2 linked regions of the Oreochromis niloticus genome follow. The protein of the gene in region 2 purifies or fractionates together with the protein of the main gene of each other region. This does not show direct contact. Links are inferred from orthologs where the notes say so. Each region holds a gene or a part of one and is shown on either strand. Other genes may lie near its edges.

Region 1 (7,985 bases), about 18 Mb from region 2:
ACAAGGATGCCAACCTCATTCCATTTCAGACTCCACCTCCTTAAAGTCATCACGGACCAATCATGGACTTCATACCTTAATTTTTCTGTTATTGGTTTTAACAAAAGAAAAAATGGTAGACTTATATTGAAAAGTTCTCACAATGAAGACAAAATATCTCTTAATTTAAAAACTATTCTTAGAATTTATTTGAGGTGTTTTTATTTTGTGAAAAAAAAATCAAACTTTGAGATATTTTTTTGGCTTTTTTTTTTTTAGATTATTTGACTTCTCATGAGACAAATTCCTCAGTTGTTACTCGATCTTTTTAAGTCTTATTAAGTGATAGTGCAACTTTGAAGCAGCCTTCAGACTTTAGGCGGTAACACTGCCCTTCTGTGGCCTCTCAGATCACATGATGAGCTCAGAGTCCTGCTGGGAAGCTCATTGGTCCAAAACTTCAGCTGACGATGGAACAAAGAACAAACAGCAATATTTTTACTCGTAGAAACTCAGGAAGCTTCTGAAGTGGACTGGCGAGAAGAAACTATACGAGCGGACTCTGATTCAGATTCTGGCCTTCTTCTGATTCGCCACGGGGTCGCGGGGCCCTTTGTGTATACACCTGCATGTCTTCTTCCTCCCACACGCTTCAGCCATACGAGCCTGTGATTGCTTCTTAAATCACCTGACCGGTGTAGATGTCAGACTCACTCTCTCACTGTGGTGTTTTTGTATTTTGTATTTCACATGTGGATAAATATTCAAACGATGGATGCAATCCTTTGAAAATCGATGCACTATTGTATCCTGTTTTTTTTTTTAAATAATTATGATCTGCTGATTGTTTTTCATAAGTAAGAGGACACTTGCTGCGCACTATTTTCCTATAATGACATTTGTATTGTACTGGATGTGCAGAAACGAGACTGCTATAGCGTCACTTCACCACCAGGTGGCAGCAGCAGCAGTCCGATAAACTGAAGCTGCACCAATGAGGCGTTTTCACTGATACTGCTCTGATTTTTACTTTGATTGCCTAATTAATAATTACATGGATGGTAATAGTTTGGTCTTGTTTTGTGAAGTGATGCTTTTGCATAAGTTTGAACTTTGATGTTTTGTTCTTGTAAGGATTAAAAAACTGTTGATTTTTGAACAGTTTCTGAGTCTGCAGATTTATTTTTTCCTGAGTGTGTTTGATTTTAAATAGAACCGCTGTGATTTTGTATCGTCTGGGTGTTCCACCAGCAAATAATCAAAATTAATCTTGTAAAGTTGTTCCAAGTTAAATAAAATTTCACATTTATCACACCATCACATTTATTACTGTTCTGTATTAACCAAACTGGGCGCAGGTTCATTACAACAACAAAAATAATCAGCCTGAATCTGAGAAAAGTTTCCACCTGACCCATCTGTTTTTTAAATCTACAGAAAATTAAATATATGTCATGGAGCCATGCTTCTACCTTCATATAATGTGTATTTTCAGAGTAACTTGCTGTTAAATTTAGGATTTATCTAACTTGTATTATAAGTTTTTGAGCATTTTTACTTCTTTCAGAGCTGAAAAAACACATTTAACCTCTGTTAAAAACTGCAAACAAACTCCCAAAGGTCTCAGTCTTATGTTATTGCAGATTTCTCATAAACTTGAGTGACGTCTTTGGTCGATGCTGTTCTTGATCAAACTTCTTCTCTATCGTGTCCAGCTAAGCTCCATCTTTGGACAAATTCATGGTGCAGGCTCAACAGTTGGGAAGTGTTTGACAATTCCTCAAAATTTCAAGTTTTTATATCACTTTTCCAGATATATTTATGTACGCCGCACAAAAATTATTTTGAAGAAGGCTAAAATTTTTTTATGATTTAGTGAAGAACAATCATAAGCATTTCACAAGTTTCAAAGACCTTTATTGGCCATAAACATGGCTCGGGGCTAATATGTATGCAAAAAGTTAACGTTTACAGTGTCGACCCTTCTGTTTGTCAGTATCTGGGCCCCAGATGGTGATCCTCCTGCTTTATCACAGTTCCAAGATTATCACTGTTTGTCTCAAAAACTAGAATAAAAACATCCTCAGACTTCTTCCAGTGATCCAGGAGCAGTTTGGTGATGATCTTCCAGCAGGATGTCTTTTGTCTTGTGTCGCAAGATAAAAGTGGTAACTAAGAGGCGTCGAGATTATCAAATAAACATTTTGGATCCTTGGCCAGGAAGCTTCCCAAACTTCAAATCAAGAATCTTTGCTCAGCACTGTAATATTTACTATAGTGGACTTAAATCATATATTATACTGACTCTCCTGTGAGTGTTTGAAACTGGATTTCTTACCATTGTTCTTCACTACATCACAAACACGTATAAAAAAAAGCTAGATAAAAAGTGAAGCAGCAAAATGTATAAAACACTAAATATGTGGTACTGCCAAAATCTTTGGTCATGACTGCATAAAAATAAACTTTAATACTCTAATGTGCTTGTGGCCTTCATCGGGGCCATCATAAATATAACAAACATCATATTCATCTAACCAGGAGCATACTTACCTTCTTACCCTTTGAAATGTTGCCTGTGTTTTATGATGACCCCAGTGAAGTCCACAATCTCAACATTTGTAGTAAAGCTGTTTGTTATGCTACAGGTGCTTCAGAGCTGCTCTCAACGCCGCTTGGCAGAAAGTGATCATCTGCTCTGTTTCAGGAATGATTTTGACTCCTAAAGAATCATGGCTAAAAGATGAGCCTGGCATCAAATGTAGGTAAAAAAGAGACCTTTGATATGCTCTGACTTCAGGGAGTAGCCACTGATCACACATGCTGACATGAGTCTTGAAAGTTTACCCAGAATGCACTTTTTAAAGTTTTCTTCATTGAATTATTATAAAAACAGATCAAACATCCATGGTTTCAACACTTGTTCCTGTTGCTCTAAATCCTCATAATAACATTAAATTGGTGCAGTTTATTCAAGTAATGATTTATCTCATGATACTGACACTCGAATGATTCAAGTTTTTAACAGAGCTTAAATGAGTTTTTCAGCACTTGAAATTTCATGTGGATATTCGCCATACTTACAAAAGTATTATCAAGTCTAAACCCAATCCTAAAAACTCAGTCACTGATCAAATAGTGTGATGGATATTGTGGTTGAACTCATGAAAGGGCACGTGATCAGGTAGTTAATATGTTAACAAGTTACCTCATATTCCTGAAACTGTGAGGCAGTTTTGCTGACCTGCTGATTAAACTCTGAAATATTGTAAATGAGATGCTTTCCTTTCCTCTTTGCTGGACATCTGCGTCCGGTCCACCTTGCTTGTAATTTTTCAGCCCTGCTTTCACTTCCACATCTCCCACAGATACATTCATTAGATAAGACAAGAGTGATCCACACTTTATTAAATCAGCAAGAGATTTTAGAAAAGCTGTTACTCTGAAATAGGAAGTGTACTCTGTAATCTGAGGCCTCACATCCTCAGTGAACTTTCTCCCTCTGAAAGCTTTTGAGAAATCTTGCATTTTCTGATGTTTGAAACCTGAAACTGGGGCTGATATTTCATGAATAAAATCTTAATAATAATAATAATGATAATAATGATAAAGGAATAATAATATTGTAAAAAGTGATTATCTACTTTCTGGGCACTGGGATGCTACTTTCATGAAATTAATATAATTAAAAGGTCCCTTTTGGGGTGACCACAGACCACAGGTTATCTGCCTCCATCTCAGACTATCCCCAGCATTTTTCTCCATCATCTCTTCATGTACTACATCCTGCCTGGCAGCTCCATGTCTATCCACCATTTCTTGTCTGCTGTTGCCCATCTCAACCTTGCCTCTCTAAGGCATAAAACATTAAAATGCAAATCAAAAATAGAAAAATGCAACATGTAAACTTTATAGGGTGTAAAGAAACAGAGAAAACCTGAAATCAGATGTTATAGGTCAGTAAAAAGTGTAAAAATCCAAAATTTTGAATCAAAATTTAGAATCAAAAGTGCTTCTGTTCTTTTTCTCTTAAGAAAAAGAACAGAAGCACTGTAAAATCTATTACGTTATGTAGGTTTATTTACAATATCAGTTTTCACACTTTTTAATAATCCACATAATGGCTTTTTTGTGTGAAAATCAAACAAAAGTGTCAGATTAATCTATATCTGTAATTATTGTGGGTTTCTGGTGAAAATGTGTTTCTTCTGATGTTTTATGGCATTACATAGACTTAGATTTTTAAGATATGTTGTGATGCAGAGATTTAACAAACAAAGCTGATTAAAAGCTTTTTACCAAATGACTGAATTTGGTTTAAAAAAGCAGATATAGTATATAACCATTTCCTGAGCCCCCCTTGCCTTGTGCCACCTGATGAAAAACCCCTGGAAACGCCCCTGCCGTTGGATGATATTGGGGCCCTGTTTTCTGGGGCCCCTGTCCGTGTGATAAAGTAGTCCCGCAGGAATGTGGGGTTAACGTCCGTGTTGGGGGGTGGGGTTCTGTGGGGGTTCGAAGTCGGTTCTGCGGGACGTTTCCGTGCTGTGAGCGTACCTGCGGCTGTGAGGCGGAACAACAATAGAGAGCCGGGCAGCGAGGTGGCGGTGGAGGTGGAGGCGGAGGCTGGAGAGGGGGGGCAGCTTCCTCACAGCGGAAGGAGACGACGGAGCTCCTGCAGGACAATGTGAGACACCGAGAGTTTATCCGACGCAGTTAGCGAGCAGCCAGCCGGGATGGAAGCGGGCACGGTGTAATGCGAACCGGAGCCGAACATCGACCTGAATATTCTGGGAAATCCGCTTTTTTTTGAGCCAAGGAAGCGGCCGCAGCAATGGGAATACTCCGCTGAGGAGCCGCCGCGGCTGGGCCGAGAATCGGGAGAAAGATGGGTGTCGCGCTGCGGAGTCTGTTGTTGTGTAGTTTTTGTTTTCTCATACGAGGTGAGTTTGTGTCCACACTGTGACTTTTACCCACACGTCCCCGCGCGTAAAAGACGCGAAAAAGTGGTGTTGGCAGCCCAGGGGAGCTTTTTCCCTTCTCTGTGGATGTTTGGAGCTCGGCCTCCGGGTCGGATTTCTCCCGAGTGGAGCGAGCTAGCTTAGCCTGCTGCTGCTGCTGGAGGAGAAACCACAAACAGCCCTGTTAGCTGGAAAATACCCCACCAGAGACTACTCACAGCACCGCCAGCTTCCCTTCCAGCGCACCCTTTTGTCGCGGGAGTATGTATTTGGCGCAGTTGGTCGCTCCTGGTTGTGTTTTGTAACTTAAAAACAGGCTGGATCGGGCTCAACAGCAGTTAGCATAACAAATGCTAGGGAGCGAGCTGGTTAGCATCAGTGAGCTAATAGCTAATAAACCATCTACATGGAAAAATAACTTTATTGATAACAATGAACAGAATAAAGAAAAGAAAGGCCAATAAATGTAAAGCATTACACACAAAAGAGCAGCTACACGACTGGACACATCTGTGAGAAATGAATTTATTTGTATAAATCTGACACTAAAGAAACAGTAAAACTGCAAAAAAGAAAAGAAAAACCCTCTAAACTCAGATTACACCAGAAATGAAAGCGAACTGCCAGGTGGATCTAAAGGATGTAAAGAATGAGACCAGGACATGAGTCCGAGGTGGATCTCTTTAGAAAAGTAAACCGAATTAAGTAAATTTATGAAGGTGTCATCGCCATTAAAAATGCTCCGTTAAATTTAGTTTAGTGTTTGCTACACAGCGCGCCTGTGCAGTAGAGCAGAAATACTATATCACAGCAACTCAGCAGGCCTAACTTTATTTGTGTAGCACATCTCACACGATATCATACAGATCATCATCTTGGCCTGAGGAGCTCCTGATAATATCCAGTAAACACTAGAGGATGAAAAATAAAGCACATAAAGCCATCTTATGTAAAGAAAGTTTATAGGTCAGTGAGAGATGATATTTTTTTAAAAACAGATAAAAAACGTGTTTTTTATCTGTGTTAAAAACGGAAACCGTGTTAAAAACTGAAATACAGCGTAATAACTTACGCTGCCTCCTCTGATTTATTTTCATTTATCATATCACATATTCATTCCACAGGTTTCAGTGTCAAACTGTTACCCAATAATTAGGTGTGTTAAAAATTTGTAAATCAAATATTTTTAAATATCAGGTTTATCTTTTATGTATTTAGTTTTTTTCCCCCCATATTTTTGTGATCAAATTACACCAGAAATATGAGCGTAACAATGGACAATCAGATAAATATACAAAATGCTTTCTTTATCCTATATTTGGTCATTCCTTTTGTTGCAACAGTTAATATATAATAAATTACACATTAAGGATAAAATGAGACCAAAGCACGAATGTAAGGTGTAAGTGTCATTTAAACGAACATTTCTGGATCTTCAGTACCAGAACAAATGTTTAACAGTTGGTTAAATTCAGATTACAGCAAGAATTCAAAGTCCAACTCTGAGTGGGATTAACAGATAAAAGATTTGGCGCTGCATGTTGTCAGTCTTCGTTGTGGAGACACTGGTGTAGTTATCACTCTGTGGGATGGAGATTGGGGGTATTTGATTAGTTTTTATCTTGTTTCTTGTCTTCTGTGACTTGTTTCTATAGACTCTGCATCTGGGATGAATAAACATTGATTCACTGTATATCAGGAATATAAATGACAGAAAAAGTGGGAATGAAAATATATTTGTTTGAAATAAGCAAGTTGTACCAAGGCAACGGAAAAAACACTAATTTAAACTCAGATTATCAAAAATAAAGTTAAACAAAGGCTGTATATAAAAGTATTAAAAAGCAACTGATAACGAGCAAGAAATTTTAGAAAAAATTGCTAGAAAGACAATTTTCTGCGCAAGTTCCATAAAATGAGTTTAAGTCCAAGATTAAAAATATTAATAAAGCAATGACGTATGTAGAGCAGAGAGGCTTCAGGGTGTTCGCGTTGCTCTCTGCTGTGCTGCGGTTCAACACTAGAGCCAAGTTTAAAAAAAGCTGGGTTTAACTAATCCCACCACCTGCACCTGCATGCTCGAGTTTCTTTTTCTGACTCACGACTTAAATGGGACGCGGTGGTAATGCAGCCTGGTGATTGGGTGGTTATTGATCAGATCATACACATACAGGAGTCATTATATATTCTGCCTGAATCAGTTTCTCCATCAATCCCCCCTTATTGATTATTCATGAGTTTTGTTTAGGTTTCAGCTTCACTTAAACTTTATATTTAAATGTGAGTATGAACGAAGGACAAACAGGGTAAGTAAAACTCTTGCAGGTGACTCGTGTGCAAATCTCCACTGTTCTGAAAATATGGCACCACATATGGGTACAGATCCTGTAAATAAGTCCAGCTCTTTGCTGAGTTAGAAGAGTTGAAATGATCATACAGTAATTTGTCACAGTCAAACCCATGAACCGATCGGACGAGTGTCTGTTCACTGTGTGGATGATGACCTCACCAAGCGGCTGAGATGTCGTAGTTCAGGTTGTCTGTTTAACTTTTTCTGCCAAGGATAATTTATGTGCAGTTTTTTGCCACCTCACTGTAAACCAGACATTCCCAAACTTCAGACCGCCCAGTTTGAGTTTAAAAATCTTTGTGGTTCGCCCAAACCTTCAATCACAGCTCAGATCATCACATGCACTGAAAATGAAGGATTTTGTTTGTTCTTTCATTGATTCATTTTGATCTTCTGATTGTTTTTCCAAAAATCAGCCAAATCAAACATGTTGAGCTACACGCTCTCAACCTCTTAGAGACGGCATAAAGTCACTTTACTTTCCAAATTAACTTTTATACTTTCCAACTGATGTTGCGATATAAGATGGGTTCAGACTCAAAGGCAACTCAGAAAAGTAAGACTAATAGTAAGTAATAATATTAAACCCCATTCGCTCAGTTTTTTTTTTTTTTTTTTTTTTTTTAGAAGTAACCTTATCAGATTGAAATTTGAGGCTGACAGTTTTGTTTTTACCTCACGTGTGGTTGCTCACA
Region 2 (7,775 bases):
CGAATTCTGTGTATTTGCTTTGTTTTCTTTCAGATGGTTCACTGCAGTTTGCAAAAGCTTTAAAATGATGTAATAACAAAATGATGTCTTTTTTCCTTTCAACACAAAAATCCTTTTCATGGTTAGTCAGTACATAGGTGAATGCGAGACTTTCAAAGTTCTGAATAACATAAACTATCTTCTAAGAATTTCTCAGTCAATAGTCAGGCAACAATGGGAGTTTTTCACTGGTTTCTGCTCCTCGAATGTAAAGATTTGCACATTTTTATGAGAATTCTGCTACTGTTTATGGCCTGCACCGAACGTAGGCTAAAGGTATGAGGTTTTCCAGTTAACTGTAATTTTCTGTTGACTGGTTTCCTTTCCTGCAAAGCATGATTCCACCTAAGTTTCTTGAGGAAATGAAGCTCAGGGGTTTTTTTAGTTAGTTTTTTTTTTTGTTTTTCTTTTTCTTGCCGTTTCACCTTCCAGCCTGTTGTCACCACCCAGCTACTTTGAGACCTGCACAACAACTACATGTACCAGGAATTTCCTGTGGAACCCCAGCAATAATCTTCCAGTCTTCTATTTCCTCCTCTCACAGGCAGAAGGCCTTTCTCTTGACATTCAGCTGTCTAAAAATTCAGCTGCCTGCGTCTTCACACAGCTTTGCCTGGGTCTGTGAAAACGCGACCTCTGGGACCAACGGAAAGTGATTTGCAACAGAGCCGAAGGTGAGGGGGAGTCGTCCTGTCTCGCTCTGACGGTAAAAGTTCTCAGAGGGAAGTTCTGATCATTCCTCGGGAATCGTGCCCTGACATCAGACTCAGTAATGAGCAGACATCCCTCACAAACAAAACATCGTTTTTCCTTTTCAGTTACTGGACAGTGCGCATTGCTTTGAGCTATTTCAGTCTGACCTTGGCACCTCAAATAATATTTCTATTATTACATGTCCCAGTTACAGTGATAGACTTGGATTTTTGACTAATGTCCAAAAATAAAAGCACAGAGCCAGTTTTAGTGTGACAAAAACAATAATCGGATCTGAAAATTGTTGCAGGTTAATCAGCTATTTTTAGCATTCAGTCTCTGCTGATCAATATTGTCTCCTTGTCCTCATGCTGCAACAGTGTATCATCTTCATTACTGATTAATCAATGGATCACACAGATCACAACATGCTCTTGGCAAGCACAAAGTGGGTTTAAATTGTTTATACGTAGTATGACCAACGGCTACAAAAGCCAAAATATTAGAGACGCACTGATATATCAGCTGATATTGGCCGCATTCACCGAAACTGATGACAGTCAATGACATTTACTTTTATTATCAGTTTTACATTTGCTAAATGTCTGACAACAGCGTAATAAAGTCTTTATAGTTCACTTATTTCTTTTGAATCAATAGCGATACTTGGCGATTTTAACATTTTTTAAAATGCAGAGTGCCCTCTAGAGGTCACACTATGAAATGTCAGCACTCGCAACATGTTTTAAGGGTGTTTCTCATCTTTAAGCTGTGTACACGCTGTAGGTATTCAAAGTGCAGAATGAATGAACATAGGCTCAACTTTTAGGCGAGCGATTAAAGTGACTATCAGCGAAAACGCAGAATACCACTGAGTGACTTATAATCTGGTAGTAAATGCATTAAACACTTACCTAGAAAACCGGAGCCTGGAATGTCCACAAGTAACCAAGCACCAGTTTTAAAACTATGTGCAATAAGCAAATCACTTCCAGTGTGGACACAGCTTAAATTTTTTTTAATCAGCTGCTTTTAATGCAAATTCCAATAGACCAGCAAATAGCTAATATAGCCCAGTATCAGCCAACAGATAAATCAGTTGGAATCTAATTTCTTCAGACAAAACACACAAACAAAAACAGAGTCAACACTGACCTAGCATCAGTATCGGTTTGTTGTTTGTAGTTAGCTAGCTATGTTATGTTGGTGGATAAAATAAGTGTTCAAAATTTGTGTGAAGGCCTTTAAAACACACAAGTCATTTCTTATTAATATTTTTCTTTCTTTTATTTCCACTGAGGACCCCAGAGGACAAAAAACACTTTTAAAATAAATATATAAAATATCGGTATTGGTATCCGTATCTGCCCAAAATGTCACAATTGGTGCACTTTTTTAAATGCCTGCATTTGCCTGCAAACAGTTGCTATCAGAAAAAAAAATAATTGCATGAAATCATGTTGCATAAGGATGCATGCACCTCTAATGCACCCTTTCCCTTTTTGATTTATGTTTTTGATGAATTCCTCGTCGCTAAAAAAAAAAAAAAAAAGGCAGGAAAACATCAACCATTCCCCCCTCCCCAGTACACTGTCTTTAAATGTATGGTTCAGTTCAGCTCTAGAACAAGCATTTCTTTATCCATCAAATTCTGCTTCAGTTGCAGTCCTAACACCCACCTCCAGCTCGTATAGTTAAAGGGGGAAAAAAGCTTTTTTACTGATGCTGCACATACATGTAGGTAGGTTGCAACTCGTTCGCCCCCCGATCTCTGCTTACTTTTATAGGGGGGTCGGTAATTCAAACAGTCACACAGAGTCACGACTTCTTCCAATCATGAGCAGAGTGGAGGCGAACTCAGAGCGTGGAGCCGCGAGCAACAGATGACTAGCAAAACAAACTGAATGGCGCTGTACAGCCGTCTGCAGGAGGTGATACAACCCTGGCGGCTCTATCACACGGAGCGGAGACTCAAACCAAACAGTTGAAATTGTCTCCTGAAGACAAACGAGGGAGTGCGTTAAAGGGGGTTGGGGGGTGAGCGGACAGTGTTACCTTGTTCGCAGCGGAGGAGGATTCAGACATTATCTCCAGTCAACTTCTCTCCGTCCACTTTTCCGTCGCGCGCTGTTCTTTATCTTCTTTCCTTTCTTATAGAAACCCGCACAGCTGCAGCGCGAGCGGCAGCCCGACTGCTCGGCTTGTGTTTGTGGGAGAAGTTGTTTTTTTCATGTAGCCCGCTTCTTTTCCTTTTTTTCCTTCCTCCTCCTTCCTTTATTTGCTGGCCGGGTCCATAGCGTGGTCGTCGGTGTGAAAACTTCTTTTGTCTGCGTGTGTTTTCCCTTCACATGTCGGCAGCGCGCTGGTTAATAATCCCTTCCTGGAAGAGCGAGACCGAAGAGAGAGAGCGAGCTCGACGGACACCTCTCTCTCTCGCTTTCTCTCTCACTCTCTCTCTTTCTCTCTCTCTCTCATTGATCTGGATGTGTGTAAAACGGCGAAATGACGTGAATTCCCAGCATTGAGCCTTGCCCCCTTTTAAAGGGAAACCCAAAGCAGGAAATCGCAGGCAGGTCGCGTAGCTACACACACAACTGCAGGCGAAGAGGCTAAAAAGACAGACTGATTTTCTTTTTCTTTTTTGCCTTTTCTTTTTTTTTTTTTAAATCAAAGCTTAAGGCAAATGCGGTTACACAATATGCTAAAACCTCACGCTTTAATTAGACAGACTGCGGCACAAAAATACAAGGATGTAATATGAGATGAATTAGTTCACATTTACTGTAAAGTCGCCTCTGCTCATACTCGTACTTTGTAAAGCCCTTGTACGCAAGGTGTGACTGTAGTAATACTATAAGAAACAAATATAAGACTAAAAAGAGTTTTAAAGTATTTTTTGTCAAGTGATTCTAAGAATTAACAGGCCACACCTCAATGGGCTGTTTTGGGTTTTTTATGTTTGTTTTTTTAGCTTTATGAGAAAAAGCATTTAGGTATAGTACACAGACTGTATGTTGAAAATGGACATAGCTACCTCAGAGCTCTGTATCTGGAAAAAGAGACGAAAAACAGCATTTGTTTGGTGCTTAGCAAGCTAAAGCCAATACAGCATTCTACTTCTTTTATTTTTGGCTAAAATCATCCCTGCATTCAGTGAGTCACACATGCACAACATTGGAAGCACAGATTAAAAGATTTACGGTTTCACTACCATTTAAGCTCAGTGCTACTCAGGTTAACTGCTGGTGCTACTCTGACTTGAGGGGGGCATTCCATATTGAAATTCCAAGTGGGAACTCAGAAATTCTAACTTTTTCAGGACTACACCATGATATGTTACACAAACAGTGTGTTCCACTTGCATTCTTTCCAATGGCCAGCAGGGGGCTACTCCTCTGAACGGATATTTAGAGATTTAAAAATCTAATATGGGTTATGACAATGCAGTTTGAAAATTTCGTTTTAGTGTCGTAACTTATCGTGGCTTACTCTTTTACACTCTACTCCCTTGGTTGCAGATTCATACCATTTAGCTCTGAAGTCAGATGCTGGAGTCGGTGTTATGTAACACTGAGTTAAGAGCATTCCAGTAATGAAGTCAAAAAAGCAAGGAAATGTGTGGCTTATTTAGCAAGTCACAAATGCCGAAGATCAGTGGTGCACTTTTCAAGTATTCCAGTTTTACTAAAGCTTACGTGCACTCCTGTGATCTTCTTTTATTAAGTGGGCATTGGTGCTGCTTTGACTTTCTAAGCTGGAAGTCCGGCTTGAGTGAGCATTCCAGCTGAAAATTTCAACTGGGAACTCAAAAATTCAGTTTTTCAAATGGGATGCACCAACAGAGATCCCCTGCACCGTGACATCAGTAAACACATTTTTCTGATGTCTTTATGACATTCATTCTGTAAATTATTAGAGTCATTAGAGATTCATAGAGTCACATAGATCCAATGCAGAAGTCTAAATCAGTTATCAGGCAGTATCTCTTGTTATTTTCTACACATCTTCCTACTGAACCCCTATTGGTATAAGCAGTTTGTGAGTGTTTTCTAGAAATTCTCCATTTCTGGTTTGTCTTGCACTTTTCACAGTTTCACTACCAACTGAAGATTTGACTTGAGTCAGGCTGATATAGGATTTTTAAGACCAATACTGATATTTAGCACTTTAAAAACCTGATATATCACTCTCTATTTTTTTCCTTGACACAGGCACCACATAAAGTTTCTTAACATTCATTATGTCCTGCTGTTTATGAGTCTTTACAAATATAGAGTGACAGTGAAAAATAATCTTCTTTTATTTTATTATTATTATTTATTTTAATATTGGTCAATTATCATCCACATATAGCATCCCCTACCAATATATCAGGCATGTTCTACTGGCAAGTGTTTGCTTATAAGTTGGTGTCGTCCATTCAAACTATGGGTTCCAACATTCTCCTAGCAAACAAAACAAGACCAAATAGGTTTTCGCCTGCTGGTCGGGGAATACGCTTCCATTCAAAATGGAAGACAAGCGTGGTTCCCAATCATATCAGTGGTGGTCAAACCTCAGTGCACACAGTGGGTATGTGTAATATGAAGTAATGACAAATACACTGATAATTAACATCACTCTGCAGTTCTCCTCAGCCACATAAAATGCTTAGCCTCTTTTTCTTTTCTTTTTTTTAGCCTTTTTTAGTGTTTTGATTTCATTTGGTTCCAGAATATTTGGGTTAGCAGTCCAAAATACTAGAATGAACTACTGGATTTACTACAGTTGGTCATTGTTATTAGTCATCTGTAAGCACTAATAGCTTGTTTTTCTGCCCCCAGATAGGCAAAATCCAGTTGATATTTGAAGAAAGAAACTGATAGATTATATAGGATATAGTTACTGTAAAATAAGTTTAAACATCTTAATCAAGTATGGTGCTATGCATCTTAGACTCTTGACCAAGTGACTATAGAGCAGGCTACTTAACCTGGTCATTGTGATCCTCTTGGTCAGATTTGTCTGTATTCCTTTATGATACTAAAGAAAAATGTGGCTTTTTCAGAGTAACAAGCATAATAGTTTCTGGTGGCAGCAGATGGTGGAAGAAGTGACAGGCAATAAAAAAAGGGGGGGGGCGAAGGAATGGAAAAATCACTTCCAACATGTTTATTCTCCTCGGAGTAAGGGAGGGGGACAGGAAGCAATGAAGCTGGTGGGGAATGTGCTGCACGTTAACAAGAAAATGCAGATGAGTGATGCCGGGGAACTTTAAATGTTCCTCCTGCTGCTGGAGGCTAAGACCTGGTGAGCTGGTTTCCAGTGCTAATGAAACATATCCGTTATAATGTGCTGGAAGTTCATCTAAATGAGAAAAACAATTTAAAAGTCGATAGTAAGTTTTTACATGAATTTCTGGTTAAAAATACAGCACAAATTTATTATAATAGGCAATAAGCCCAATCCTTCTTTTTGCATGTTTGAGATGGAAACAAACTGCAGGCAGGAGCCGTTCTGCTGCATGTTTCCAGCTGGTGGGACTAACAGATGGCATTAATGGGATTACAATAATCGGATTTTTAAAAGTGGCATATGTAATCTTAAACACCTACTGTAAAAACACAGTAATCTGATTACAGACTCTTTGAAGAGAAGAATACAGAAAGCATTTAGATAAAATTAATGAGGCTTGTTTTTGTTATAGCATTACTGGAAATGTCTTCACTCTGTTCAGCTGTGAAGCAGAAGAAAGCCGTTCTTTCTTTCCATGTTCAGTCGAGGTGTAGGCTGCATTAGGAGGTCATACAGCACGGTGACTCCCCCAAGTGGAAATCAGCAGCATTACAGCATCAGTCCAAGATAAAAAAAAAAATAGTTCAGTTTCGCTTTCCAATCATCAGAAATGATGCCGAAGTTTTCTTCCTCACATGAAGCCATCGTCCGCTGTCGTCAAGCTGCGGTTTGGTCTCACAGGCGGAAGGAAACGCAGGCAGAGCTCGGACACGATGGAGACAGAAATACTGAAAAGGATCTGCGCCAATCAAGGAGCAATCAAAACTGAGGATTTAGTATGTAATCTATTTTCCGGCGATCCCACGAAGTTGTCGGAGATCATTTGTAACCGAGAGAAATTTGCTCGTTGTTGTCCAAACGGACAGGAGAAGGTGGTGGCCAGGACCCACCTGAGACTTTGCAGAGTGAAAGATTGCCCGGGGACATGCAAGGGTCTGCACCTGTGTAAAAACTTCCTCTTCGGATTGTGTGAGTTCAGTCAGCTCAGGTAAATGTACTAGACTTAAAGTAAATAATCGAGTTTACTGTATTGGGGTATTATTATCTCTGCACACCGTAAACATGTGTAACGTGAGGGTTCACTAGATGGTTTGGAATCTCTCTGAATAATTAGGAACAGCAAGAGGGAGACGGATAACTTTTTAGCAGCCTCTTTACTCTCAGCACACAGCAACAACAACAAACCCACACTTCCTGTGTGCCGCCCTCATGAATACTTCACTGGCCTCTCAGAAGCCAGGAAATCTTATACTCAGATCAAAACAGGGAAAACAACTAGGTAGATATAACACATACTTATTACTGGTTTGAACATGCATGTCTAACCATTCAAACGTGTAAACATGTAAATATCAAAACACGTAACCACCAAATAGCTACATAACTACCTTTATAACCTTTGTATATCAAATTAGATTTAAATTTACTTCTACACTTTACACATGTAAAGCCATCTGCCTAGTGTTCATTGGTTTCCCTCTCACTCAGTTATTCTCTGGTGAATTTTGAATTCTGCAGCTTTTCACACAGTTAATGTCAGAGTTATAGTTGGCCATCTGACAGCTCAGGTGGAGGCAGGATTTCAAACTCTTTTATCCTGTAAACCTGATATCTGCATCAGTTGCTACTGACAACAAGAAATAAGTTTTGACACAATGGGCTGAACCATGTTTTAATTGGGAGGGACACTGTGCAATATATTCAGTTTTAGAATGTTTTATTCTCCTGCCTGTCCTGCCTATATTGTAATAACTCAAATAACAGGAATA

What was found. The genes of interacting proteins can lie anywhere in the genome.
Region 1: the proteins of etv6 (region 2) and lrp6 purify together in Homo sapiens (affinity purification with mass spectrometry; 3 studies listed by BioGRID and IntAct, counting the BioPlex papers as one, with this or other methods). This does not show direct contact. The link is inferred for Oreochromis niloticus from reciprocal best matches to the Homo sapiens genes ETV6 and LRP6.

What each region holds. Positions count from the first base shown.
Region 1 is NC_031981.2:21,753,543-21,761,527, reverse strand, and holds the start of lrp6 (low-density lipoprotein receptor-related protein 6), read left to right. Parts: upstream 1-4,468; 5' UTR 4,469-4,867; coding exon 4,868-4,922; intron 4,923-7,985. UniProt on the Homo sapiens protein: Component of the Wnt-Fzd-LRP5-LRP6 complex that triggers beta-catenin signaling through inducing aggregation of receptor-ligand complexes into ribosome-sized signalosomes.
Region 2 is NC_031981.2:3,497,291-3,505,065, reverse strand, and holds the start of etv6 (transcription factor ETV6), read right to left. Parts: upstream 3,200-7,775; 5' UTR 2,818-3,199; coding exon 2,788-2,817; intron 1-2,787. UniProt on the Homo sapiens protein: Transcriptional repressor; binds to the DNA sequence 5'-CCGGAAGT-3'. Plays a role in hematopoiesis and malignant transformation.